6 separate regions of the Mus musculus genome follow, and all the other regions are reported to be linked to region 4. Evidence: microRNA targets listed by miRTarBase, many of them from high-throughput screens and not tested one by one. Region 4 holds a microRNA gene; each other region holds the end of a gene's coding sequence.
The links. The annotated mature microRNA mmu-miR-5127 reads UCUCCCAACCCUUUUCCCA and lies in region 4 at 2,586-2,604, opposite strand. An mRNA with a match to its seed (bases 2 to 7 or 8) in the 3' UTR can be bound and repressed. Matches are read on the target gene's strand: a 7mer-m8 pairs with bases 2 to 8, a 7mer-A1 pairs with bases 2 to 7 and ends in A, and an 8mer does both.

Region 1: miRTarBase lists Car5b as a target of mmu-miR-5127. Seed matches in the 3' UTR shown: 7mer-m8 at 2,822-2,828.
Region 2: the mRNA of Depdc5 is a reported target of mmu-miR-5127. Seed matches in the 3' UTR shown: 7mer-A1 at 2,466-2,472 and 7mer-m8 at 1,699-1,705.
Region 3: the mRNA of Stxbp4 is a reported target of mmu-miR-5127. Seed matches in the 3' UTR shown: 7mer-m8 at 1,297-1,303 and 7mer-m8 at 2,745-2,751.
Region 5: miRTarBase lists Cntn2 as a target of mmu-miR-5127. Seed matches in the 3' UTR shown: 8mer at 1,750-1,757 and 7mer-A1 at 2,873-2,879.
Region 6: miRTarBase lists Gpr12 as a target of mmu-miR-5127. Seed matches in the 3' UTR shown: 7mer-m8 at 3,082-3,088.

What each region holds. Positions count from the first base shown.
Region 1 is chrX:163,975,655-163,979,742 of GRCm38, forward strand. It overlaps Car5b (carbonic anhydrase 5b, mitochondrial), which reads right to left. Exons shown (of 8, transcript NM_181315.4): 8 at 1,168-3,716. The coding sequence ends at 3,537. It overlaps Gm38561 (a long non-coding RNA gene), which reads left to right. Exons shown (of 4, transcript XR_878297.3): 2 at 1-1,145. Among named protein-coding and RNA genes, the nearest start is that of Gm38561, 19 kb to the left of the region's middle.
Region 2 is chr5:32,990,619-32,994,706 of GRCm38, reverse strand. It overlaps Depdc5 (DEP domain containing 5), which reads right to left. Exons shown (of 43, transcript NM_001170567.1): 42 at 3,883-3,965; 43 at 474-3,768. The coding sequence ends at 3,476. Among named protein-coding and RNA genes, the nearest start is that of Ywhah, 26 kb to the left of the region's middle.
Region 3 is chr11:90,477,243-90,481,330 of GRCm38, reverse strand. Stxbp4 (syntaxin binding protein 4) reads left to right here. Exons shown (of 18, transcript NM_011505.2): 18 at 617-4,088. The coding sequence ends at 731. Among named protein-coding and RNA genes, the nearest start is that of Gm34850, 6.4 kb to the right of the region's middle.
Region 4 is chr18:81,989,435-81,993,522 of GRCm38, forward strand. Mir5127 (microRNA 5127) reads right to left here and starts at 2,646; the gene lies at 2,576-2,646.
Region 5 is chr1:132,511,963-132,516,050 of GRCm38, reverse strand. It overlaps Cntn2 (contactin 2), which reads left to right. Exons shown (of 23, transcript NM_177129.5): 22 at 1-30; 23 at 414-4,088. The coding sequence ends at 517. Among named protein-coding and RNA genes, the nearest start is that of Tmem81, 7.8 kb to the right of the region's middle.
Region 6 is chr5:146,579,802-146,583,889 of GRCm38, forward strand. It overlaps Gpr12 (G-protein coupled receptor 12), which reads right to left. Exons shown (of 2, transcript NM_001359056.1): 2 at 2,349-4,088. The coding sequence ends at 3,305. Among named protein-coding and RNA genes, the nearest start is that of Gpr12, 3.4 kb to the right of the region's middle.

The DNA.
Region 1 (4,088 bases), not on the chromosome of region 4:
TGCATGGTTTAGCTTCATACCACCACAAGGGAGGCATATGCTGAACACAGAGGCTTTTACAATTCTAATTACTCTAAGTCTATGTGACTATCATGTTGGCCAAAGAGCTGGTGTAATCATAGCTTGTACTATAGAAAATATATTCAGGAAATATGATACAATTTTTATATTCCAGCCAAAAAATAGAACTTCAGCAGCATGCTTTTCCAGCCCCAACACACACACACACACACACACACACACACACACATACACACACACACACACACACCTTGGCTAATAAGCACATAAAATCAATTTTATAAAATATTAAAGGGTACTGAAAAGATGGTTCCTAAGTTTAGAGCACTTGACGCTCTTAAAGAGGAACCCACAAGATAGCTAATAACCATTTGTAACTCCAGTTACAGGGGATCCAACATTGTCTTCTGGTCTTTTTGGGCACCCAGCATGCATGTGGTGCACAGACATACATGGCATGCAGGAAAAATACCCTTATGCATAAAAGAAAAATATTGCTGGAAATGCTATTGTATTCTATGTAACAGTGTATGAACAATGCAACTAATATTAAAAATAATTGACTACTAGATGATTTGAGATGTATTTCTATAAATCCAGCGTGAAATATTTCTGTCCTCTAGCACTTCAATCATTAGAACGTTCTGTATATGCTTTGTCCTGGCTACTTTTATGTCAATTTGACACAAGCTAGAGTCATCTGAAAGGAGGGAAACTTGATTGAGGAAATGCCTCCATGAGATCCAGCTGTAAGGCATGTTTTTCTTAATTAGTGATCAATAGAGAAGAGTCCAGTCCCTTGTGGGTGATGTCACCCCTGGTAGTCCCGGGTTCTATAAGAAAGCAGGGTGAGCAAGCCAGGGCAAGCAAGGCAGTAATCGGCACCATCCATGGTCTCTGCATGAGCTCCTGCATCCAAGCCTGCTTGAGTTCCTGCCCTGACATCCTTCAATGATGAGCAGTGTGTGGAAGAGTAAACCAAACAAACCCTCTTTCTCCCCAAGGTTCTTTGCTCATGGTGCTTCCTCACAGCAGTAATAACCCTGAGACATACTCCCTATACAATCCCAAACTCTATGGTAAAGCATCTGACTTGGAAAAATGCAAAAGAACTTCTAGAAACAGTAAGCTCTTCTTTTCTTGTGATTACAAAATATAGCTTCTTTTTTATTCTTTTAAAGTTTTATTTAGATCAGGCAGTGGCGGCGCATACCTTTAATGTCAGCACTTGGGAGGCAGAGGCAGGTGGATTTCTGAGTTCTAGGCCAGCCTGGTCTACAGAGTGAGTTTCCAGAACAGCCAGGGCTATCCAGAGAAACCCTGTCTTGAACCGTCCCCCAAAGTTTTATTTATTATTGTGTGCATTTATAATGTGTATGTGGTTGTATGTATGGGATGAAAGATGCTTGGTCAGACAGCAATTTGGTGGGGTTAGTTATGTGAGCTCTGGGGATCAAGCTCAGGTCTTTAGGTTCACATGGCAAGTGTCTTTACCCACTGAGCCAGCCCATGACTACCAAATGTATTTTCTATACAGTAAATTGATAATAAGTAGACATATCATATGCTAGTAATAGCAACTAAAGATTAGTATAAACATACTCATTGAGAAGTATGAATACAAAAATTCACACCCAAGTTTTGAAACAAAATATACCTAAAACTATGGCCAGCATTCAGCTCGGACTTGCTGGTCTGGGCTCCCACAGACGTTTTCTGAGAAGCCTGGGCTTTGTGTGGTAAGTAGCACCACCATTGGTAGTTTTTAACAGTTTGACTGTAATCCCTACTTGTGATTCTACACAGCTATGAACACTGGAAGAGAGCTGAAGCTGAGCGGAGTGGCGCACACTTGCAATGCTAGCAGTTGGGATGTGGAAGCAGGAGGACCTGAAGCTTCAAAGCAGCTCCTGCTACACAGCACCTTCTAATACAGCCTGAGCTAAAGGATACCTTGTTTCACAAATAAAAAGGATAGCCAAGGAAGGCAAATATAATCGTTGAGTGTGGTGCCTTGTACACTTGAGAGACTGAGACAAAAGTTTAACTATGAGTTCCAGGCCAGCCTGGACTACAGAGTGGGACACTGTCTCAAAACACACACACATACACAATTTCAGATATAAAAACACAATTACTAACAGATTGCTATAAGTGCAACTTGCATGTTCTGTTAATATTCCAATGACACATATTATTATCAGTCAAAGAGCAAATATAATGAAAGCTGGCCTTGGTGGCACAAGCCTTTATTCCCAGCACTTGGGAGGCAAAGACAGACAGACTTCTGTGAGTTCAAGTCTAGACTGGTTTACATAGTGATTTCCAGGACAGCCAGGGCTACACAGATGAGACCTTCTCTTTTAAAAAAGACATGAAATACTCTAAAACCAGGAAGTTTACACCTAAACTTTGAGAGCCATTCACCTCCAAATGATGGTAGCTAAGAACTTGACCAACAATGAAAGGTGAGACAATTCACCAGTTTGAACAAAAGGGGGGCATTTTAAAATCAAATTCACAAGAACCTCTTGTTGTGAGCTAAGCTCCTGAATTAGACCCAAACAGAAAAATCAAGATCAGGCACTCATATTAAGCCCCCATTTAACCAAAAGGAAACTAAATTGTCTTTCTGACTGTCTGAGAAATAGATTAGAGAGATTTAACAGTTAATGAAGATTCCTCTGCCTTTTTTTTTTCTTTTTCCCCGAGATAGGGTTTCTCTGTGTAGCCCTGGCTGTCCTGGAACTCACTTTGTAGACCAGGCTGGCCTCGAACTCAGAAATCCACCTGTCTCTGCCTCCCAAGTGCTGGGATTAAAGCCGTGCGCCACCACTGCCTGGCAGATTCCTCTGCCTTAACGCTGTCATAAGAAAGGGTGACCTCTGGACTGGAGAGATGGCTCAGCAGTTAAGAGCACTGACTGCTCTTCTGAAAGTCCTGAGTTCAATTCCCAGCAACCGTGGCTCACAACCATCCATAATGAGACCTGACACCCTCTTCTGGTGTGTCTAAAGACAGCTACATCATACTTACATATAATAATAAGTAAATCTGCTGAGCGTGGTGGCGCACGCCTTTAATCCCAGCACTTGGGAGGCAGAGACAGGTGGATTTCTGAGTTCGAGGCCAGCCTGGTCTACAAAGTGAGTTCCAGGCTAGCCAAGACTACACAGAGAAACCCTGTCTCAAAAAAAAAAAAGAAAGAAAGAAAGAAAGAAAGAAAGAAAGAAGAAAGAAAGAAAGAAAGAAAGAAAGAAAGAAAGAAAGAAAGAAAGAAAGAAAGAAAGGGTGACCTCAGATTGACGTTATTTGGGTACAGGTTTTTGTTTTTCTTCGTTTGTCTCCCGGTCTTTGCTTTACAAGAGTAGGAATTTTGAAATGTTACCCAAAAAAGGAAGAAAAAAATAGAAATGTATACATATAAGTATTATTAAATGCTGTGTTTTAAAATAATCTAGTTAAAATTTTAAGCTAATAGTCATTAAAACAAGATGCTGCTGAAGAATGCTGTCTTAGGGGGTGACTTCGCTGGCTGTTGGCTTGGGCTTCACTTGTATATTGAGCACATAGTCATGGCGGAAGGATGAGCGGACTGTGCGATTCATCAGCGGCTGAAGAGGGCGGAAGTTGTCCACCATTCTTTTCTCTTTCTCTCCCTCAGAAGTGAAAAGCAGGGTCCGAAACTGCTCAAGCTAGAAACAAAACATTACGAATATCAATCAGAAACAAGCTTTAGTATATGGATAAATTACTTTCTTTTTTGTTTGTTTGTTTGTTTGTCATGAGTCTCACTGTGTAACCCTTAGAACTCATTATATAGACCAGGTTGGCTTCCAACTCCTGGAGAGCCACCCCCTTCTGTTTCCTAAATAACGGGATTATAGATATGCACCACACCACACTTGGTTTGCTTTCATTTCTATAATTCTACAATCCTTTGTCTCAAATTGGATTCAGAAAGAGAACTTATTTCTGAGAATGCTCTCTTCACCCCTTGATAAGGGGTTAAATGCCATGTTGCTGGCATGGTTGTGTGACAGCAGCAGGAAGTGGTCAAAAGCCAA
Region 2 (4,088 bases), not on the chromosome of region 4:
CAGATAGAGGCCAGATCTGAAGGCTGTAAGACCTACTCTTGGCACATGCTCTTGGACAAGCAAAAGCTAGAATTGGAGAGCACTCTCGGCTATGTTTAGGGCAAGCATGTGGTTATAGTTTTAAGGCTAGGAGCTGCCTGAAGCTTCTGCAGGCTGAACTCAGCAATTGCAGGCCCATGGGGGAAACTGGCAGGGTCCTGGGGGCTGGGCAGTCACTGTCTACTCTAGCAGGGATTCTGTGTGGGAAGCTATGGCCCTGTTACAGGATGCCTGTGTCTGAATACATGGAATTTGCAGTTCAAGGCAAAGAGGATTGGCACAGCACATGATCATGTCATGCTATCCCACAAAACAGTCAGCCTGGATTCCTCTCAGCTGTATGGCCTGGCCTCCACCTCCAGAGGCCTTCCCTTTACCTCTTCTCAGGCATGTGTCACGCCTAGCACACAGTAAGCGCTCAGAAAGTAGGTGGCTGTAGAGAACAATAAATTGGCCTTTATTCTGCTTCTCTCCGGCTGTTTTCTATCCACTTTAGTGAACTTTAACAGATCTTAATATTTAAAATTTTTCAATTAAATTTATGCATGTATGTATATATGTGGATACATGAGTACCACAACATCTGTGTGGCCATCAGAGAACTTTCTGGAGTTGATCCTTTCCACCATATAGGTCTGGGGAGCTGAACTTAAATCACCAATGGCAAACACCTTTATTTATTGAGCTTGGAATCTGGAATGCTAGAGACTGCAGGAACTGGAGCTCAAGGCCAGGAGCATCTCAGGACAGCTGATAGGCAAGTGACCTGGTATTCCATCAGTTGAACTCCTGCCAGGTAATTTTCTATGTCTTCCAAGTTACCTCTGGAATATGACAAAAACTGTATGTGAAGGGGTAATTGATGGCTCCATAGGATGGATAACAGGACCACACGAGATCACACGGTCTGGCGTGGCCAACAGCTGCTGTGACCACAGAGGAGGCTGGCATGGAACCCTGAACATACCCATCTGGGAAAACGAGAACTTGATTTACTCTCTTTTCAGTACTAAGCTCTTTCAAACGAAAACATCCTTTTTGTTTGTGTGTGCTTATTTGCTTGGGACAGTGTCTTACTGTGTGTGTCCTGGAGTGACCTCAAAATCACAGCAACCTTCTTCCCTCTCCTTTAGTCTTCTCAAGTGCTGCGGTTACAGGTACACTCCACAAAGTCCAGCTGTACCTGCCTCAACCCCCCAGTTACTCCAGACAGCTCCCACTGACAAGAAGGCTGACATCAAGGAGGAGCAATATTCATGGGAAGAAAAGTATGTGTGTGTGTGAAGCTAAGTTTTTTTTAGGCTTACTTCCCATGGATCACACTTTCACACGTTAACAGCTTACTCTCTCAAAAGCTTCACATGCAGGAGCTAGGGACATGGCTCAGCCAGTAAGAGCACTTGGAGCTCTGGGAGGACCCAGGTTCCCAACCCAGCACCCAAATGGTGGCTCACGACCGTCTAGACTCTAGTTCCAGGGGATCTGATGTCCTCTCTTTTGACCTAACGATGCACCCATACACACACACAACACACACACACCTTTAAAAAAAAAAAACCTTTACATACAGGACTTAATAGCTGTGATTAGAAGTTCCCGATGAGTGCAGCTTGGAACAGTGTACGCAGAAGATTTGAGCTGGTTCAAGGGAATGCACAACTCCCAAGGCAGCTGTGAGAACAGCCCACTAGGCAAGACAATACTTGGTTTTACTTTTGTAGTGTTGTGAATTGAGTCCAGAGCCTGGTGCCTGCTATGCTGGCTCTGATCTGCATCTCCAGCACCATACTGAAGGTTTTTGGAGTCAGGTAGTCAAGAGAATTCTAAGTGGCAAGTCTAAATGGAGTGGAGCTGTCTGTTTGATTTTAAGATTTATTTTTGTTTTATGTGAGTGCTTTGCTTGCACGTATTATATATGTGGATATATGTATATGTACCACATGTGTGCCCGATGCAAAAGAAGGTCAGAAGAGGGTGTGGAGTCCCCTGGAACTCCAGGTATGGATGGCTGTGAGTGACCTCACGCTGGCACTGAACTCAGGTGCTCTGTAAGATCAGTCAAATGCTCTTAACTGAGTCATCTTTCCAGCCCCAAAGTGAGACTTTCTGAGACAGTCTCATTGTAAAGCTCAACTTTGCTAAGTACACACTATGGAGGCCAGCCTACCTCAGTCTCCTAAACACTGGTATTACAGGAAGCTGCTGTACCTGCTTGGAGTAGTTTTTTTAAAAAACAAAAACCCAACAAAACCCTAGTTTCCCAGGAGAGTGCAGTAGGATGAACCAGAGACAAGTTAGGTTTCCTGGAGAGAAGAGAAACAAGGAAGGCTGGACCTGGAGTTGTACATAGGGCCCAGGAGAGGTAAAGAAGGTAAGGTACATCAAGGGGCTGGAGAGATGGCTCAGAGGTTAAGAGCACTGACTGCTCTCCCAGAGGTCCTGAGTTCAAATCCCAGCAAGCACATGGTGGCTCAGAACCATCTGTAATGGGATCCGATGCCCTGTTCTGGTGTCTGAAGATAGCTACAGTGTATTTATCATATATACCAAATACATGAATAAAATCTTTAAAAAAAAAAGGTACATCAATGGGGTGTGTGATTAACTCTAGTATAGGAGGAAGCAGTAGTCATGGTCTTCGGTCTTTGCCTTCCCTGAGCAGTCTAGAGCGAAAAGCACTCACTGGACGTGTAGGGAATGCCGTGATGTCTGCTTCCCTGAGCTGGCCCATCCACTTAACGAGGCATATTTCTGACATGACAAGCCTAGAGCTTCTTACTATACTGTACTGTACTGTCTGCTCAGTAGTCCTGTCCTGTCCAGAAGATCCTTGTTCTTGCCCAAGGACTTTGAAAAAGAAACCTATCAAGCCAGCTCAGAGCCAGACTCAAGACCAGTGTGTCCTGAAGCCCTCTGGCCACCTGAGGTGACCTGACTGGCCTGGCTACCAACAAGGCTGGGAACAGACACCGGGGGAGGGAGAGAGGGAGGGAGGGAGGGAGGGAGGGAGGGCTTTATTAGATTCTGCTATGTACACATATGTACAGCTGGTGTGAGCCAATGGTACATTATGCCACAGATTTACCTCATACACACACTCTTGGGCAGAAAGCAGGAGGTTCTGTTCCGAATATCCCACTGCTGGTGAAGGAAAAGGACCCTAATGGAAGCTGCCTACCCCACTCCCAGACACTGACTCACTCCCACGGACAATCTGTGCCTCCCCCTGCTTCAGGGACAGGATTGGCAAGATTTGGTTGGCGGTAGCGGCAGCAGCTGCTTCCAATCTTTCTCTTCACTCACACTTGTGCAGAGGCCAAATATCAGCAGTGGCCCCACTCACTGATAGGAGCAGCCTGACACCTGCTGCCCAGAGCCTGACCGGAAGGCCAGCTCCAGCATACCCACAGCCTCTCTTAAGAGAAGCAGCCTGGCTTCATGGAGCACTGGCATGCATCTTCTCCAGGCAGTTTGTCCAGAACGTGACCAGTCGGTTGTCACGGTTGATGCAGAAATCCGTGAAGTCCTTCAGCAGCCGATCAGCAAACTTCTCGTCCCCTGTGGCACTAGAGCGCCATGTCTTGGTCAGCATGGTGTTGTAGGCCCAGTTGTAGCCAACCCGCTCCTCACAGAACATGTTTTGGTTGGTGGAGCTGGTAGAGTTCCGTCGCCGCCGCTGCTGCCCTGAAAACTTGCGTTTGGAGTACGGCAGCTGAAGGAACACCGTTCCTGAAGGGAGAGACCATGCCTGAGTGGAGCTGTGGTGAACACCTGCAGCAGGCTCTGGTGGTCCTACCCTGAAGGCTCGGGCAGGGCCTCGTGCACCCACCCACAGCGCCTCACCTGTGACATGGATATACTGTGGCTTATTCTCAGCAGGGAAGTTAAAAGCGGAGACAGAATATTTATCTTGCACAAATCCAAACCTACGGTAAGGACAGACACATTGTCTCATTAGCTAGAGAAACAGGGAGCAGTGTGCAGCTGAACTCTTGACAGGTAAGGGTGTGCCAGAATGTGCAAAGGCCTCTGGTGTGGAACATGCGGGC
Region 3 (4,088 bases), not on the chromosome of region 4:
AACAAGAATATCACTTGCAAAACTTGGTTTTCTTGCTTCCTGCTCTCCCCATCCGGGTAACATTATAAGGGAAGCAGTAGTTAAATTAGAGATCGTATGGGTTCAGATGGAAGGACTCATATGGAGAAATTTCTTCTTTGGAGTAAGTGTGCCCTGACTCACTAGGGAAGAGAAATGCCCTCCAGAATCATACTGTAGAATTTTTCTTGACCCAGAATTGAGTAGAGCCGAGTATTTCTCAAGTAAATGACAGTGTATGCTTTGTCGTTTGGCCTGGTCTTTGGAGTGGAGTGGGGAATGAACACTGGAAAGGAGGGCAGCAGACAAACTCCAGAGGTGTTGCACACAGCTACACAGCCACAGACATACTCACAGACAGTGTCCTTCAGATGAGGAAACAGGAGTTTGAGGTGATATGTTCATCTTCATTCATGGTTATAAAAGACCCTAAAACCTCTCCAAGCCTTCTTAACACTACTGGATCTGGTTCTAATTGCTTCCTGTCCCAGGGGCCAACAACTGGGTCGAAGCAGGTAGTCCCCAGAATCAATACGTGTTCCGTTACGTAGAAAGAGAGCTGTTCACATGCTAATCTGCACCCCTTGTTCTTCCCAAGCCACGTGACACAGACCACGTCCTGGATCCACCCCGTGATGAGCGCCCTGAACCTGTCCTGTGCAGAGGAGAGTGAAGAGGACTGTCCCAGAGAGCTAACAGACCCGAAAAGCTGATGGGTTTCCATGGGAAATGGAGCAGCAGAGTCCTCTGGCTTCTCAGTCCATGTCCACAACCAGACACAAGCCACCACACCCCGAGACACAGGAATCCAGCACGTGCACCAGGCAGGGTGTCAAGTCGCAAGTGTGGTATTTTCGTGTACATGTTAAAGATCAGTTGCCACTACAGTAGTTTTTTTGGAAATAATCTAGTTGCATTTATTGAAGTCATTTATAGTCAGATTTTACATGCATAAACCTCTTTATAATTAGATCTTTATAACTCAGTATGTTAGCTCATTGTTTGGTATGAGATACAATGGTTTGTATATCAACACTTCATATTGAAAAGTTATACGAACATAGCAAACTCCTTTTTATAACTCTCCCTCCCAACCCACAGCTTAGGAAAAATGTTCTGAGAAAGCGAGGGGAGGCTGCCTCACAGCTGTCCCACTAGCTGCTGACTACAACTTGTACCAAATAGGACACCACCTAACTTATATTATTAGGAGACATCTATCATTTATAAAGTGCTTTCAAGCCGGGCAGTGGTGGTGCACGCCTTTAATCCCAGCACTTGGGAGGTAGAGGCAGGCGGATTTCTGAGTTCGAGGCCAGCCTGGCCTACAAAGTGAGTTCCAGGACAGCCAGGGCTACACAGAGAAACCCTGTCTCGAAAAAAAAAAAAAAAAAAATGCTTTCAAACCTCACCTTACTTAAACCAAACAGCATAGATTTTGAGCTGATCTACAGGGCAGTTCTACTCATGGCTTCAGCTGGAGAAACAGTGGTTCAGAGAGACAGAGCAGCCCATCCCAGGGATGAGACTCACACCTTATCTTCTGATTCCGTGTCCAGGCGCCTTTGCCCTGCTCCCTACTGTCCCCACAGAGGGAGATTGCAGCCCAGCAGAGTATCTACAGTCTGTTGATGCAGCTGGGTCCACAGCTGTGCATTCCACAGCAGTCCAGAGGACACCTCAGAGTCATGACCCACTCTCTTCCTTCTGCGGCCCCAACCCCACCACCACCACCACCACCACCACCCTTAGATACCAAGCAGGACACTGCTCTGTGACTTTTCAGTGGGCTTTGTATTTTCTAGACTAGAGACACTGGCTCATGGCCATGCTTAGGTGCCATGAGCCAGTAGGAGCATCTAAAGAGAGCTGACAGGAGAAAGGTATTTGTTTAAACACTGCTGGAGCGCTTGTAAAAGGATGGAGGCCAGGAGCCAAGCAAAGCAGCGCAGCATCACTTAGGCAAGCATAGAGCTCCCAAGAACACGGTGCAAGAACCTTCACTCAGGGCCACTTTATAAGTAAGTCACGGAGTTCCTGCAGTGGAGCAGCACCTGTGTCAGCATCAGACCCTAGCTCCTTACATTCTCTGCTGAGTTTTACCTGGTATAGGGAATGCATATGGAAAATACACATGGGCATCGTGCTCACCCATACCTCTCTGAATACATTTAAGATGTAGGGTTTAAGCTGAATGCACTTAGGATTCATGTTTTCCTTCATGAGGAAGAACATAAAGTCAAATACAGACTGACAAGGAGACTCGAACCCTAACAACGACAGAATGGCTGGAGCAAACGTATGCCTCTCCTCACAGCTGTCTGGATCTTAGGATGCTTCGAGAAGCGGGGTAGGGGTAGGTGGCTTTGAGAGCAGCTGCAGAAGGACCTGTTTCAAGTCCCAAAGAGGTGTGAACAGGCACTCACACGCTTTTATAAGACCGTCTCTGCTGTGACACCAGCACACTCCTGTTAGGAGATCATTCTCCTGCCTCGCATTGGAGAGTGTCCTCAATTGTTTGTAAGGGAAGCTGAGATGGGCTCCTGAAGCATGCAGTCTTTAATCTGTATGTGTGCATGTGTGTGTGGCACTCACAACCTCTCTGCTGCTAGTATCAAGTCCCTCCCTATTTCTACCAAATACATAATCAAAAAGATCTATAAAAACACATAGCTCTATGTACTGAGCACTCTATACCATACATTTCGGTATACAATGAACATCTTTTGGGAGGTCTTTTTGGGATAGCCACTCTCTGTGTATACCACCCTGGCCTTGAGTTCACAATCCCCCTGCCTCAACCTCCCAAGTACTGGTATTTCAGCAACAAGTACCTTCTTGAAGGTACCCAAAGTGATTCCAATTTTATGAAAAAGCTGAGGTTTAGAAAGAAGTGGTCCCAAGGATCCCACCATGCCTTTGTGTTGATGCTGGATCTGAGGCAAGTCTTAGACCCCAGGGCTTCCTTAAACCAGGGTGTAGAGCCTCCTGGATTTAGTCAGCCCTGCAGGACTCCAGCTTTCAGTCACGAAGAACTTCCCGATTTGTAAGAAAGGAATTCTCCAGGAGAAAATAGCATTCCATCAGGTTCCTGTGTAACTGAGCATCTCATGTGAATGCAGCTAAGGAGGTTGAGCCTCTGAATTAGCTGAATCAGGCGAACACTCATTGAGAACTATTCTTTAGTCCCTATGTCCTCACCCATGTGTTCCCTTGGGATGCTCAGTAGCTACCAGCGGTGTGACCAGCACTCTGGTCACCAGGGCAAAGCAGAGCTACAGCTAACCATTTCAAAATAAAAATGATCTTGAAAGTCAGAATTTGTTAACTTCTAAATTTTAAAAATAGTTTCTTTTCCTTTCAAAAACGAGATCAAAGTTCTGTAGAAATAAGTCGAGTTAGATAAATAGCCCGTCTAACTTTCTGGAAGCTGCCGTCACCAATATTTCAGTAACTATTTCCCCTCGAGGGTAAGCCTGCCACCCTTAAACAGCTCCCCCTTGAATTGGTATGTTGTGGTCATCTTTTCATGGTGATATACGCATTCTGTTGCATTTTAAGTGTCTGCTTAAGCTATCACTTCCCAGAATACCCTTCACCAGTTGTTCAGCAACTCATTAAAGAAATCTTAGGCTACTGTAAGGTCTTTCCCGTAACAGTGTCATGGCGAGCATTTGTGTATTTATTAAAACCTTTTCTTCAAGTACCCCCGCACTCAAACATGAGCGTCTGTAGACTGAATACTTTTGAAAGCCACTGTGTCAGAGTACAAAGTTTTGTCACTGAACAAAGAGCTTCTCCATCCCTGCCTAAAAAACCTGGATTTTTGTTTTAAATTGGATATTTTCTTTATTTACATTTCAAATGTAAACCTGGATGTTTTAATCATTGGGTTTTATCATCTCTTTAGCATCGGAGACTGGCTTGCTGTGTGGGGCAGAGTCTGGCAGTGACTAATTCAGTGTTCCACACATGGCATTCCTCTCAGTGTGTTCTACTTTACATGTAATGATGATAAGGACTTGCTTCTAAATTAGCAGAGAGAGCAAAGGCATGCATACAGCATGCGC
Region 4 (4,088 bases):
AATCATTTGAATCAAATCAGGAATTCTATAAAGTCCTTAATTCATTTAAACAGCATTTATTCATGAAAGTTCATGTTGATCTGCAGGAAACTTACCCAACAGGAAGAGATCACAGCAGGCTATAGGCAGTGCTTTCAGGATTCTCTTAGCAGATAACAATGTGCTTAGTATCTGATAATGAGGCAGACACACAGCTACTGGGCAAGAGGGGCAGCCATGTTCTTTAGAGAACCAGCACTCAGCTTAATTACAATGAGAACTGAAGTTCCCAGAAAGTCACCCACTCCCCACGCTCCATACCAGACTGGAATCATTGGCAGATTTGAGCTTTGTGGAGAGTTGGAATATTACAGATGATCTTGAAATATCATCAGCTATGTTATTAGCCATGCATTGTCCATCTCATGTTTCACTAACAGCCTTGCAGCTGCCACTTTACGTCTTGGAAATGTCAGAAGCTCTACCAACCCAAAAGCTATGACTGTCCTCAGAGAACACCTGAGACCTGTAACAGGAACTGTCCTCATTTCTGTAACCTCTACCTGATGTTCCCATCAACAGGTTTGAAAGGATAGATGCTTGTTGTTCTGTAGCTATGGAAACCCCAATCTGTACTTTGGGAGTACAGCCACTGCTTATTGGGCACAAAAACCTGTTGCCTTTGCAGTGGGAGCAATATGAGTCAACACAAAGAAGAAAGCTGGTGAGAGATGATATTCAGAAAGACGCTAATGACACCCAGACTTCTGGAGAAGCCATAATCATCCTTCCTAGGTGGCAGCTCTCTGGGTAGCTAAGGATAGCTCTGTCATGTTCTCACCTTCTGGCATTGCTCCTTCCATAACATTCTGACAGCAACTGTTGGGCGTGCTGTGATCCAGGGCCCTCGGTGTATGGAACAGCCGATGTGTGGATGGTTCACCTCCGAAGGAAGTAGATGAGATTACTCACTGTTTAGGCTGAGTTTCCATCAACCCAAGCAAGGCTTTGTGTGTTCGGGTTGTACATGGGCTTCCAGGATATATAGCCAAGTCCCCAGCCTCCTAAGACTTCAGGACATATCTCATTTTTAGATGTGGTCCAAATTAGTTAGTAAGGCTTTATTAATCCCCCCTCTCTCTGTGTGTGTACATGTGTGTGTACATCTGAATAGGTACTCTCTCCTGTGTACTTACAGGGGCCAGAGGAAGACAGTGGGTGTCCTGCTCTATCACTTTTGACTGTTTTCCTTTGACAAGGTTTTGCACTGAACCTGGAGCTGGGCAGGTTCAGTGCAATCCTCCTGTCTCTTCCCACGTGCTCTCTGCCCAGTGCTGGGGTTTCAGGTACACATGGACATCCTGATTTTTTCTTTCACAAGGAAGTTGGGGTCAGAGTTCAGATCTTCATACTCACTACTACTGAGCCATCTCCTCAGCCCCAGTTCACTAACTATTTCTTAGTGGACACTCTCTCTGTGAGTTGTCGTGTAGTTTTGAGGTGTCTATGAACAGAAATAAGAAAACGACACTGACTCTAAAGACATAGTCCTTGTCTGTGATCACAGTAGTCATGCTTGGGCAGGGAGAGAGAGAGAGAGAGAGAGAGAGAGAGACTTTTTCATTTCTATATCAGAGGATTTTATGCTTCTGCCTATTTATTGAGGTGGAAGCTTTATGTATACCCATGCAATGTTTTGTAAGAAGTGAAAACTAGGGAACACTGCAGTGTTAGAAGAAAGTCATGGGTATGTGCATGGCTGGCTGGCTGTATAGTCCAGGCATAGACAGACAACAGGAGTAATTAGTTTCTGCAGATTCTTATATTGCTCCATTATGATGTATAGTTAGCTTGGGGATTATACCAAGCCTAAACAAATATTTTTCTTCTTTATGGTTTTTAAAATCTGGATTAAGTGTATATTATTTCCTGGAGCAAAGCTGCCCAGGAGGCCTAACACATGCTGCCCAGCTGCACCTTAACACCATGATGGAGACCTCATTCCCTTGGTTTTCTTTACAGACTTGCATAAACACTCCTTCTCTCAAACCTGTCTAGTTAGTAAAAAATCCTTCCATTCTTATATTTACCTAAAAGCAACTCATGTTGTGCTTATGGGCTTATAAAACAGTTAACGATTAAAGCTAACTCTGTATTCATAGTTAAAAGCAAATATCTTAACTGAGCTGGACTTAGAGTTAGAGACACAGATGCCAGGCTGGCACAGAAGCTCCCAATCAGGATAATACAGACAGTCAGGTTTGGACAGCCCTGTATAACGGCAGAAATAGCTATCCTCCTTGCAGATTTGGGACAAGACACCAGGAGCTGGTGATCCAGCAGTGACAGGTACTCTCCTCCATCCAGGACACACTCTGCCCCAGGAGGATGCCACTGCTGCTAGCCACACCCACAGAGCATTTGAAAAGTTTCATGGACCAAGGACTCAGATTAATGCTATCCATGTGCACAAAAGAAACATCGGAGGGAGCCAAAATTGTTCCCTCAACTTGAGCCCTCAACTCAAAGACATTTCCATGATTGCCAACGCTCCCTGCACATAGTGTGGAGCACTAGCTCTACAAAGGACAAAGATCCCTCTCTCCTGGGAAAAGGGTTGGGAGAAATGTCACCATATGTCACCACATTTCACCAAGTAGAGAAAGCAACACAGCCAGGCAGGAACACAAAATCTCAGTACATAGGGGTGCTGAGGCCTCTGTTGACCTTAGGGGGTGTCTCAGTCAGGGTTTCTATTCCTGCACAAAACACCATGACCAAGAAGCAAGTTGGGGAGCAAAGGGTTTATTCAGCTTACACTTCCACATTGCTGTTCATCATCAAAGGGAGTCAGGATAGGAACTCACACAGGGCAGGAACCTGGAGGTAGGAGTTGATGCAGAGACCATGCTTACTGGCTTGCTTACTCTGGCTTGCTCAGCTTGCTTTCTTATAGAACCCAGGACTACCAGCCCAGGGATGACACCACCCACAGTGGGCCTTCCCCCCTTCATCACTAATTGAGAAAATGCCTTACACTGGATCTCATGGTAGCATTTTCTCAAGGGAGGCTCCTTTCTCTGTGATAACTCCAGCTTGTGTCAAGTTGACACACAGACCCAGCCAGTACGAGGGGAAAATGATGACATCCCAGAGTGCTGTTCATCTGATGGAACTCAAATGCACAGGTGGTTAGATAACCTGTGCATCAAGTAGATTGTTTCTGGAATGAACTAAGACTTATTCTCTGGGCTGGCAAATGGGCAGTGCCTTCCACAGTGCCTCCATACAAGGAGGGTTGAAAGAAAGCTGTTCTGCCTTTATGCCTGGCTTGTGAGTCTATCAACATTGTTGCTACAGTCATCCCTGGCTTGAGTGTATCAACACTGTTGCTACTGTTATGCCTGTTTTGTGAATGCATCGACATTGTTGCTGGTGTCATGTCTGGCTTATGAGTGTATCAACATTGTTGCTACTATTATGCCTGGCTTGTGAGTGTATCAACATTGTTGCCACTGTTATGCCTGGCTTGTGAGTGTATCAACATCGTTGCTATTATGCCTGGCTTGAGCGTGTATCAACATTGTTGCTACTGTTATGCCTGGCTTGTGAGTGTATCAACATTGTTGCCACTGTTATGCCTGGCTTGTGAGTGTATCAACATTGTTGCTACTGTTATGCCTGGCTTGTGAGAGTATCAACATTGTTGCTACTGTTATGCCTGGCTTGTGAGTGTATCACATTGTTGCTACTGTTATGCCTGGCTTGTGAGTTTATCAACATTGTTGCTACTGCTATGCCTGGCTTGTGAGTGTATCAACATTGTTGCTACTGCTGCTGGCACTGTGATCCCACACTGATGTCAGAATCCACTTTCTACAACCTTCCAAGTAGACTGAAAGCAAGCATCCCTCTAGGAATCCTTCAGGTATTCAGTATCTGATTAGGACTGTAAAGGCAACTGGCCCCTTGAACTGAACAGCCCCTGGGGGCTCAGTCCTGCTAGCATGTGGATATCCACTGTGAGATTTATTCATCCTGTCTGAGTATGCCAATCTAATTAATATGTATTTGTTCCACCCAGTTTGTTCCTGTAAGGAAGCCTAGGT
Region 5 (4,088 bases), not on the chromosome of region 4:
CAGCCGAAGTCCACATTGTGAGAAATGGAGGTACTGCCCCTCCCTTCCCCCTTTCTACCTAGCCCCTCAGCAGTATTAGTCCACCAGATACTGGTCAAGGGATTGTCCCCAAGAGCCAGCTCTAACCTAGACACCACCCCTCCCCCACGAGAAAGGAAAGACAGGCAATGAATGGTGCCATGCCACTGTCCCCTCCCTACCCTAGAACCACCCCAAGGTAAGGAGGGAATACATCTTTTTTATGGGGACCAAGAACGAAGGTCAGTGCTTCATGGGTAAGGCTAAGAACATCACTAGCCTTCGGTTCTTAAGGCCTCCATATGACTTTCCTCCAGAGGCCTCCGGGTTCTTTTGTAAGGGCAGGGCTGGGAGGCTCACTCAGCCACCCAGTTTCTACCACTGGCTGGTTTCAGGCACCAGCATGATGGTGGAGAGCTCAGCCGTCCGCCCTGCCCATCCTGGCCCGGTGTTCTCCTGCATGGTTATACTGATGCTCGCCGGATGCCAGAGGCTCTGATCTCAACGCTGCCCGCCACGCCCAAGCTGGACACCCACCCTAACAGACACAGCGGCTGGCCACAGCCCCCCTCCAACGCCAAGGTGGTCCAACACTGCCTGAGAGTGGCTGGCTTAGACACCTTCTCCCAACAGTACCCTTTACGTAGGAGGTAGGATATTTCTATTCTGCCACAGGATAGAACCAGGCAAGGAATTTTTCTTTAAATCAAGAGGCACTGGGCAGTGACTTCCATGATAATACTAGACCTAATGCCTGGACCCTCTGGGGTCCTGGACAGAAGGAACAAGCCTTTGGATAGAAGGTATTTGACATACATCTTCAGATCAAGTGGATGGCCCTCTGGGGCCACAAGTGGGCACTGCCATCTCTCATCTCTCTGGGATGAGAGTCCCAGGCCCAGCAGGAACATGGGCAGCAGTGGGCTATCAATTTCCCTCTATGAAGCAGAGGGACCTTTCCTAGTCCTTGCTGGAGAAGCACCAGTTAGTCCCCACGTGGGCTTCGTGGCTCCCCGGCAGTCCTGCTTACTCAGTAGCCAAGAACAAGGCCCTGGGTTACTGGGGATAAGAGCTCTAAAGGGTTGAGAGGCTACACCACCTGATGGAAAGGGGCACCAGACTGAAGCCCATTCACCACCCCGGTGGCACTGCCCTCTCAGCCAGCACTGCCATCCCTGCCATCCTCCAGATGGAATGGTGGAGTGACAGGGCCACTTGAGGTGGCTATGTGACTAAAGGGCTTGTCTCGAGTTGCCTTGCCTCATCGGGATGCTCCCTTCATGGACCCTCCAGGGTAGGGGCAGGCGACGCCCATCTGAATGCCGTGCTCTTCCCTTCAGCTCTGCTGCAGACTTGTGCCTGCCTCCTCCTCCCATAACTGCAGGCCCTGGAAACCAGCTCTCAACACAGCATCCATTCTTTGTCCTGGGATGGAGAGGCATCTGAGAAGGGTCAGCATCAATGTGGCCCTGCCTGCTTCCAGGAATACCCTCCATCACCTGGCCACACCTGCTCCCCAAACTGCCTGGACTCTCTTGGGTCCCCGGAAGTAAAGAGTTAATGAGGTGGTGGAGGTGGAGGCAGCCTGCCTTGAGCTCTGGGTACATTACCAGTGACAGCCCAGACTACAGAAGCTGAAGAAGCCTTATAGCTTGACTTATCCATACCTTGCCCTTAACAGATGAGGAAACGATGCCGGGCAGTGCTGGCGCACGCCTTTAATCCCAGCACTTGGGAGACAGAGGCAGGCGGATTTCTGAGTTCGAGGCCAGCCTGGTCTACAAAGTGAGTTCCAGGACAGCCAGGGCTATACAGAGAAACCCTGTCTTGAAAATGGAGGTCCAGAAAGGGTTAAGGACTTCTTAGGGTCACATGATCTGTAAGTGACAAGGCTTGGTCAAGAACCAGAGTCTCCTCCCCACCTGTGGGAGGCTCTGTGGAGGAGAGAGGTGTGGTGCTGGGCAGTCGCCGCCCGGTCTCTAGGATGAGCCCTCTGCTTCAAGAGGTTCAGGGTGCTGAGAAGATCAACATGGATGCTCTCAGTCCAAGGCACAGGCAGATGCTAGGAGTCAGCGGCCTGAGGCTGGCTTCTGCCGGGAACTCAGCAGGGAGAGCTGGCTGGAAGCCTCTCAGGCTCTCTCTTTTCATTTCAAGAAAAGAAGTCAAAGTGAGGACAGAGTTCCCTAGACCAGGACTCTGTGCAGCCCGACCAGAAGTCGCCAGTGTCCATGCCCTGAGCCCGTGAGAGCAGCAGAGCAGGCGTTTCAAGAGGCGCTTGCCCTGCTGTTCCTTGGGCCATTTCTGTAGTTTACAGTTAGAGCTCTATTTTGTTATGGGTTTTTAAAACTTTAAGCCCTGCTCTTTTTTCCTGGGCGGGTTTATGTTAGTATTTACCCACTACAATTTTTTAAAGATGTCCACACACTCACGTACCTTTCCCCCTACCACCTCCATACCTTCCCCTAGCTAAGGACTGCTTCCTTGGAGCTGATTAAACCCTCCCTCTTCTGCTCCCAGCATCTCACATACAAGGGTGCTAGGGGCTCAGCCATGTGATCATTCTCCCTCCCGTGAACCCCAGAGATGGTCCAGCATCCCTCCCTCCCCATCCTATGCTGGCTGGGATTTGGCTCGGGCCTAGCCCTGGAAAACCCTAGCTAGCCCTGGAAAGGGGCACCTGAAACCTTCCAAGGTTTACCTATTTCTCACTGCCTTGGGTTTGTGGGGTGGGGGGAGTGCTAAAGAAATGGGTATCTAGTGTCTGGGCAGGGTAAGTGAACCTGGTCAGGGAGGTGGGAGGCTACAGCCCCTAAGCTTTTCTTCTAACAAGGTCCATGAAAAGCAGGCAAGCTGCTGGGAGACTGGAGAAGAGGAAAACCTTAGCCCTGTGCAGGTAGCATTTGTTGTGGGGAGGTGAGGCTGTGCCAGCAGCTTTGGAGCTTCGAGTGTTATCTAAGGTGTAAGGAGACCGCAGGTGACTCGCCAACGTGAGCTTGTAAATAGAAAAAAAAAAAAGCCTCTTGCTGAGGAAACTTGGACCTTAACTGGCTTGGGAAGGAGGGCTAGATCAAATGGCTTCTCAGAGTCCCTCTCCTGCCAAGGGTCCTCTTGACTTCTGTACAGGCTGGGGAAGCTTTTGGACTGGCCCCTGCTATGGTCCTGACTGCTAGGGGTGAAGCTGCCTATAAATACCTCTCCAGGGGCTGGGAGGTACCCTCTGTTCCATCCACCACACTGCTCATTGCCATCTGATGGTACAAATGAGTGGCTCTGCCATCCAGGGCAGCAGGTGACCCAGACAGTGGGGAAGTCGGGAGGCGATGGGGCAGGGATGAGAAGCCTGACCGTGAACAGGAGAGAATGAAGCCAAGGTCAGGGAAGTCTTCGGGAATAAGGAAAGTCTTCCTTTGGGTAACCTTTGAGGTGTTTCGGTGTTCTGTCCAATCCTGGTTGGGTGAAGTCCTGACTTGAGGAGTAGGAGGTGCTGAGTCCTCCCAGAGCTGAGATCTTAGAATCCAAATGCCTAGTACAGGGAAGCCGTAGAGGTACCATCTGCAGCTTATTTTAAAAGCCATCAGTGGGAATGATCCCCAGAACAGTCCTTACAAAGTCGTGCCTTCCCCAGCGCATCCTAGCCCGTACTCTAGCCAAGAGCTCAGCGTGGCTAGCTAAGCTATCCTTCCCTCACGCCTTTTCTTCTCCTAGTTGTCCAATAGCCAATAGGACTCCTGCATGCCAGGGGGACAGCAGTATCCTCACACCTGTTAATGAGTTCAAGTGTGGTGTTCGCTCTCGCTAGCTGAGACTATACCTTGCCAGGGAGTCTGGAGTGTGCCTCTTGAACCTGTATATGTGGTCCCAGGCTTTGGGAAATCAGGGCATTAAAGAAAACAAGAGAGGAGGAGGAGGGAAAAAGAAGGAGGGAGAAGGAGGAGGAGGGAGGGGGGAGGAGGAAGAAAAGATAAAAAAGCTCTGTTCAGAGCCCCAGGTAGCCTCAGAGGCCTAGGGTCCTTAAGTTTCTTTAGAGGGAACGCAACCTGCCTTGGCACCAGATACCTCCAACTTAGCCC
Region 6 (4,088 bases), not on the chromosome of region 4:
TAAAAGATTCCCTGCTACCTTAGAGTGTCCTAGAATGACAATTTTCCATGATGTAAACACACACGCACAGGCACACATTCACATCCTTACACACGTGTACCTATATTGAAATAGGTTCCAATTTCTTAGTGATTATCTTTATTAAAGACAAGAAACCTTGTAGGAAATAACTTATGTTCAAAAACTCTTCACAAATTTAAACAAGAAGAACTGGAGAAAACATTTCAAATAAAATCAGGCATTTTTTAAGAACATGGCTCAAACCTCTGGGCCAGCAAGATGGCTTAGCAGGTAAAAGGCGCTTGCCACCAAGCCTAACAACCGGAGTTCAATACCCAGAATCTACATATAGAAGGAGAGTACTGAGAACAGACGCTCACAAACTGTCCTCTCACCTCCATACTGATACCATGGTACACATGCATGTGCACGCACATAGACATACACACACACTCATACACAAATTAATGTCAGAAAATTTTAAGCAACCACCAAATACGTATCCATAAGACCATTTCACCCAGTGCCCCGTGTACACAAACATTTACCCACATTGGTTTGATGGTCCACGTGTGATTTCAAATGGGAACCTTTTTCTTAATGACAGAACCCAGATTATGTGACAGCGACCTGTTCAAAGGCAGCTTTCTTTGTGGAGTAAGGGATCAAAGACAACATTATGGAGGGGCAGGGAAGGGAGAATGGAAAGCCTGCCTTCAGTTCTAGCCTCACCCTACAGCTCTCTCAGAGGCCTCAGCCTGCTTCTTCACCTCTCTCTGAGCTCCGGTTTTCTCACCACAAATGTGTGTTTTCACAGTTGCATTTAAAAAAGAAAGAAAGGAAAGCTAGTAAAACAGCAAGTTCAGGGTTGAGAGCACACGTGGGCCAGGCAAAACTGACTGCACTCCTGTGTCCCCTAGCAGAGATGTGCAAAGGAGAGCTCCCATCCCATAAAGCGCCATCTGTTGCTTTAAGGACCCATTATGAGAGTTTCCTGCTCAAGTCTAAGCTAAATGACTGGGGCTGGAGAGATGGCTCAGTGGTTAAGAGCACTGACTGCTGTTGTGGAAGACCCAGGTTCTATTCCCAACATCCACATGGCAGCTCACAACCAGCTGTAACTGCAGCTCCAGGCCATTTGGATACCTGTGGCCTCTCATGACACCTGCACACATATGTACATCTATGTGAGTTGTAAGTAAAATGAATACATAAATAAGATATTTAAATTAATGAATAAAAAGACTCAACCTATTCTTTCTTACCACGCCCATATTGTATTCAAAATAAATGTTTTAAAGCTGTTGGCTGGATTGGGGTTGATCATACAGGGCTGAAAATCCTTTCCTACTTCTTCAGTATTTCAATCCCTCTCATGCAGCCATGAGCAGCCTCAGAGAAGAGATACAGATTCAAGTATAAGATGCTTTCTCACTTGAGCCACTTGAGAAGCAACTTTGGAGGAATGGGTTTGGCAGGCAGGCTTTGAAGACTGGTCCTGAAATCATCATGGCCAGGGGCTGGTGAGATGGCTCAGCGGTTAAGAGCTCTGATTGTTCTTCCAGAGGTCCTGAGTTCAAATCCCAGCAACCACATGGTGGCTCACAACCATCTGTAATGAGATCTGATGTCCTCTTCTGGGGCTGTCTGAAGACAGCTACAGTGTACTTAGATATAATAATAAATAAATCTTTGGGCCAGAGCGAGCAGAGGTCCTCAGTTCAATTCCCAGCAACTATATGAAAGCTCACAACCATCTGTACAGCTACAGTGTACTCATATACATAAAATAATATCTATAAAATACATAAAATACTGATTGGGACAAGCCTTTGAGGGGAACCTATTACAAATGACCCCTCACCAAGGATCCTGAAATACTGGTCTTGATGTGCCATTCAGGAATTCTTCCACTTCCTGTATAGACACAGCCATGAGCCCATTGCAAACTGAGGGACAGTGTATCTTACATCTGTCTGCTTTCACAGAAAATGACACTTGGACATAATTACTCTGTATGGTGTTTTAAGTCACGTCTTGTAGTAATTTCCCAGGTAAACCTTTGCTTTCTGAAAGCAGGCAGCAGAGTCCTTGTTGCATGGAGGATGTCTTCTGGTAAAAGGAAATTAAACTTTTCACCATCAGACATATGGTCATTCCTGCATGAGCACACAGGACACAGCTGGTACACCCCAGTCATGTTAGCTGGGCGTGCCTCAGACCTAGTTGTTAAGGTAGGAGACCACCTGCTTCAGATGCAATTTGCCCTACCAACAGAATGAGAAAATTTTCCATTTATAATACTTAATTCTACTCATCTTAAGTAAGAATAACAATGTATCCATAGATAGAGATTTGAAAAGTCATGTTTGTATATTTCTTAATAGTATCACACCATTTATTCTCTCAGAATATATTAAAAATAAATAAAATCTTCTTTCAATAGATGCTGTTAATATTTTCTCTTTTGTTTTCTGAAAACCACCAGTCTAGAGTTTTAAAAATCACAATGACAAATCTAACCAGTGCTATCTCATATGTAATTGGAAACATTTTTTTCATGACTCACTTTGGAAAGGATATTTCAAAAACTGTATTGAAGAAAAAATGACTCTTTTAATTCTGGGTTTAACATGGCAATATTGCAATTAGTGATCTGACTACCACAGGTAACCATGCATACCAAACTGTAACACAGAGAAACTGCAAAGTGATTCTTAAGAGCAGTCACTACTGCTGAAAGGAAAGAAAGGAGTTCGCGCCTCTGTTACTGGTCACTTATTACTGAATTCCTAGAAATAAACACAAGCCCTTCCAAATGTAATTATATAAACTATTTTGGTTATATGGCAAAGCTCCTATCCTGTTAGATACATACAGAATGGAAGATCTACCTTGATTAAAAAAAAAAAAGTATTTCCTTCAGAAAAAGTATTTCCTTCTCCAGTTTCCTTTAAAACTTTGATTTATTTTCAAGCCTAGGTTAAAAAATCCCGAGACTTTTGTATAATTTCATGGCCACATGAGGTCCCATTACACCCTCCAAACAAACAAACAAGCAAACAAACAAACAAATCCTAACTCCCAAACCAAACAACAGAATGCTGAGCCGAGAAGTCGAGTTTTGTTTTGTTTTTTTTTTAAAAAACACTGGTAAGATGATTTCCACTGTCAATACGTGTCTAAAAGATGTCATTGCTTCTGCTTGTGAGATCCAGTGCAAAGAATTTAAGGAAGGAAATCACTGGCCGCCCTGGGAGGTGGGAGCGCTTGGTAGAGGCAGCGTCCTATGAGGAGAAGGCTGCTACACATCGCTGGGAGACCGAGCTCTCTGAGACAGCGAGGAAGGGATGCACCCACAGCAAATGAGGCAGAGGGCTTTCTGGATCTCTTGGTTTCTGAAAGCGTAAATGACAGGGTTGATGATGGAATTGTAGGTGGCGGGCAGGAGGGTGGCATAGGTATAGATCGAAGGGTAGGTGTAATCGGCGATCAAGGAATAGAGGGTGAAAGGCATCCAGCAGGCAGCAAAGGTCCCTAGGATGAGAGCCAGGGTCGAGACCCCTTTCCGGGTAGTCACATAGTGCGATGTAGCCAGGAAGTGGTGCTGCAGGGCTATCTGATGGGCGTGCCTCATCACAATCTTACAAATCTGGATGTAGAGCTGAAGCATCAGAGCAAACATGAAGAGGAAGGAGATGGAGAGGATGGCAGCGTTGTTCTTAGTGAGAGGTCTGACCACGCTGCAGGTGGACTCGTCCCTCAAGCAGTTCCAGCCCATGACGGGCAGCAGCCCCAGGCAGATGGAGGTTCCCCAGAGCATCACTAGCATGACATAGGTAAAGGTGACGGTCCTCTCGGAGTGGTACGTCAGGGCGTAATATAGCGAGAGGTAGCGGTCCACAGTAATAGCCAGCAAACTGCAGACAGAGGCAGAGAAAGAGGCGACAATGAGTCCGATGGTGACCAGCTTGGTGGCTTCTGACTGAAGCAGGTACGCAAAAACAAAATTGATGATGAGTCCCAGGCCAGCCAGCAGGTCTGCAAGAGCCAGGCTGCCTATCAGTAGGAACATGGGGGCTCGCAGG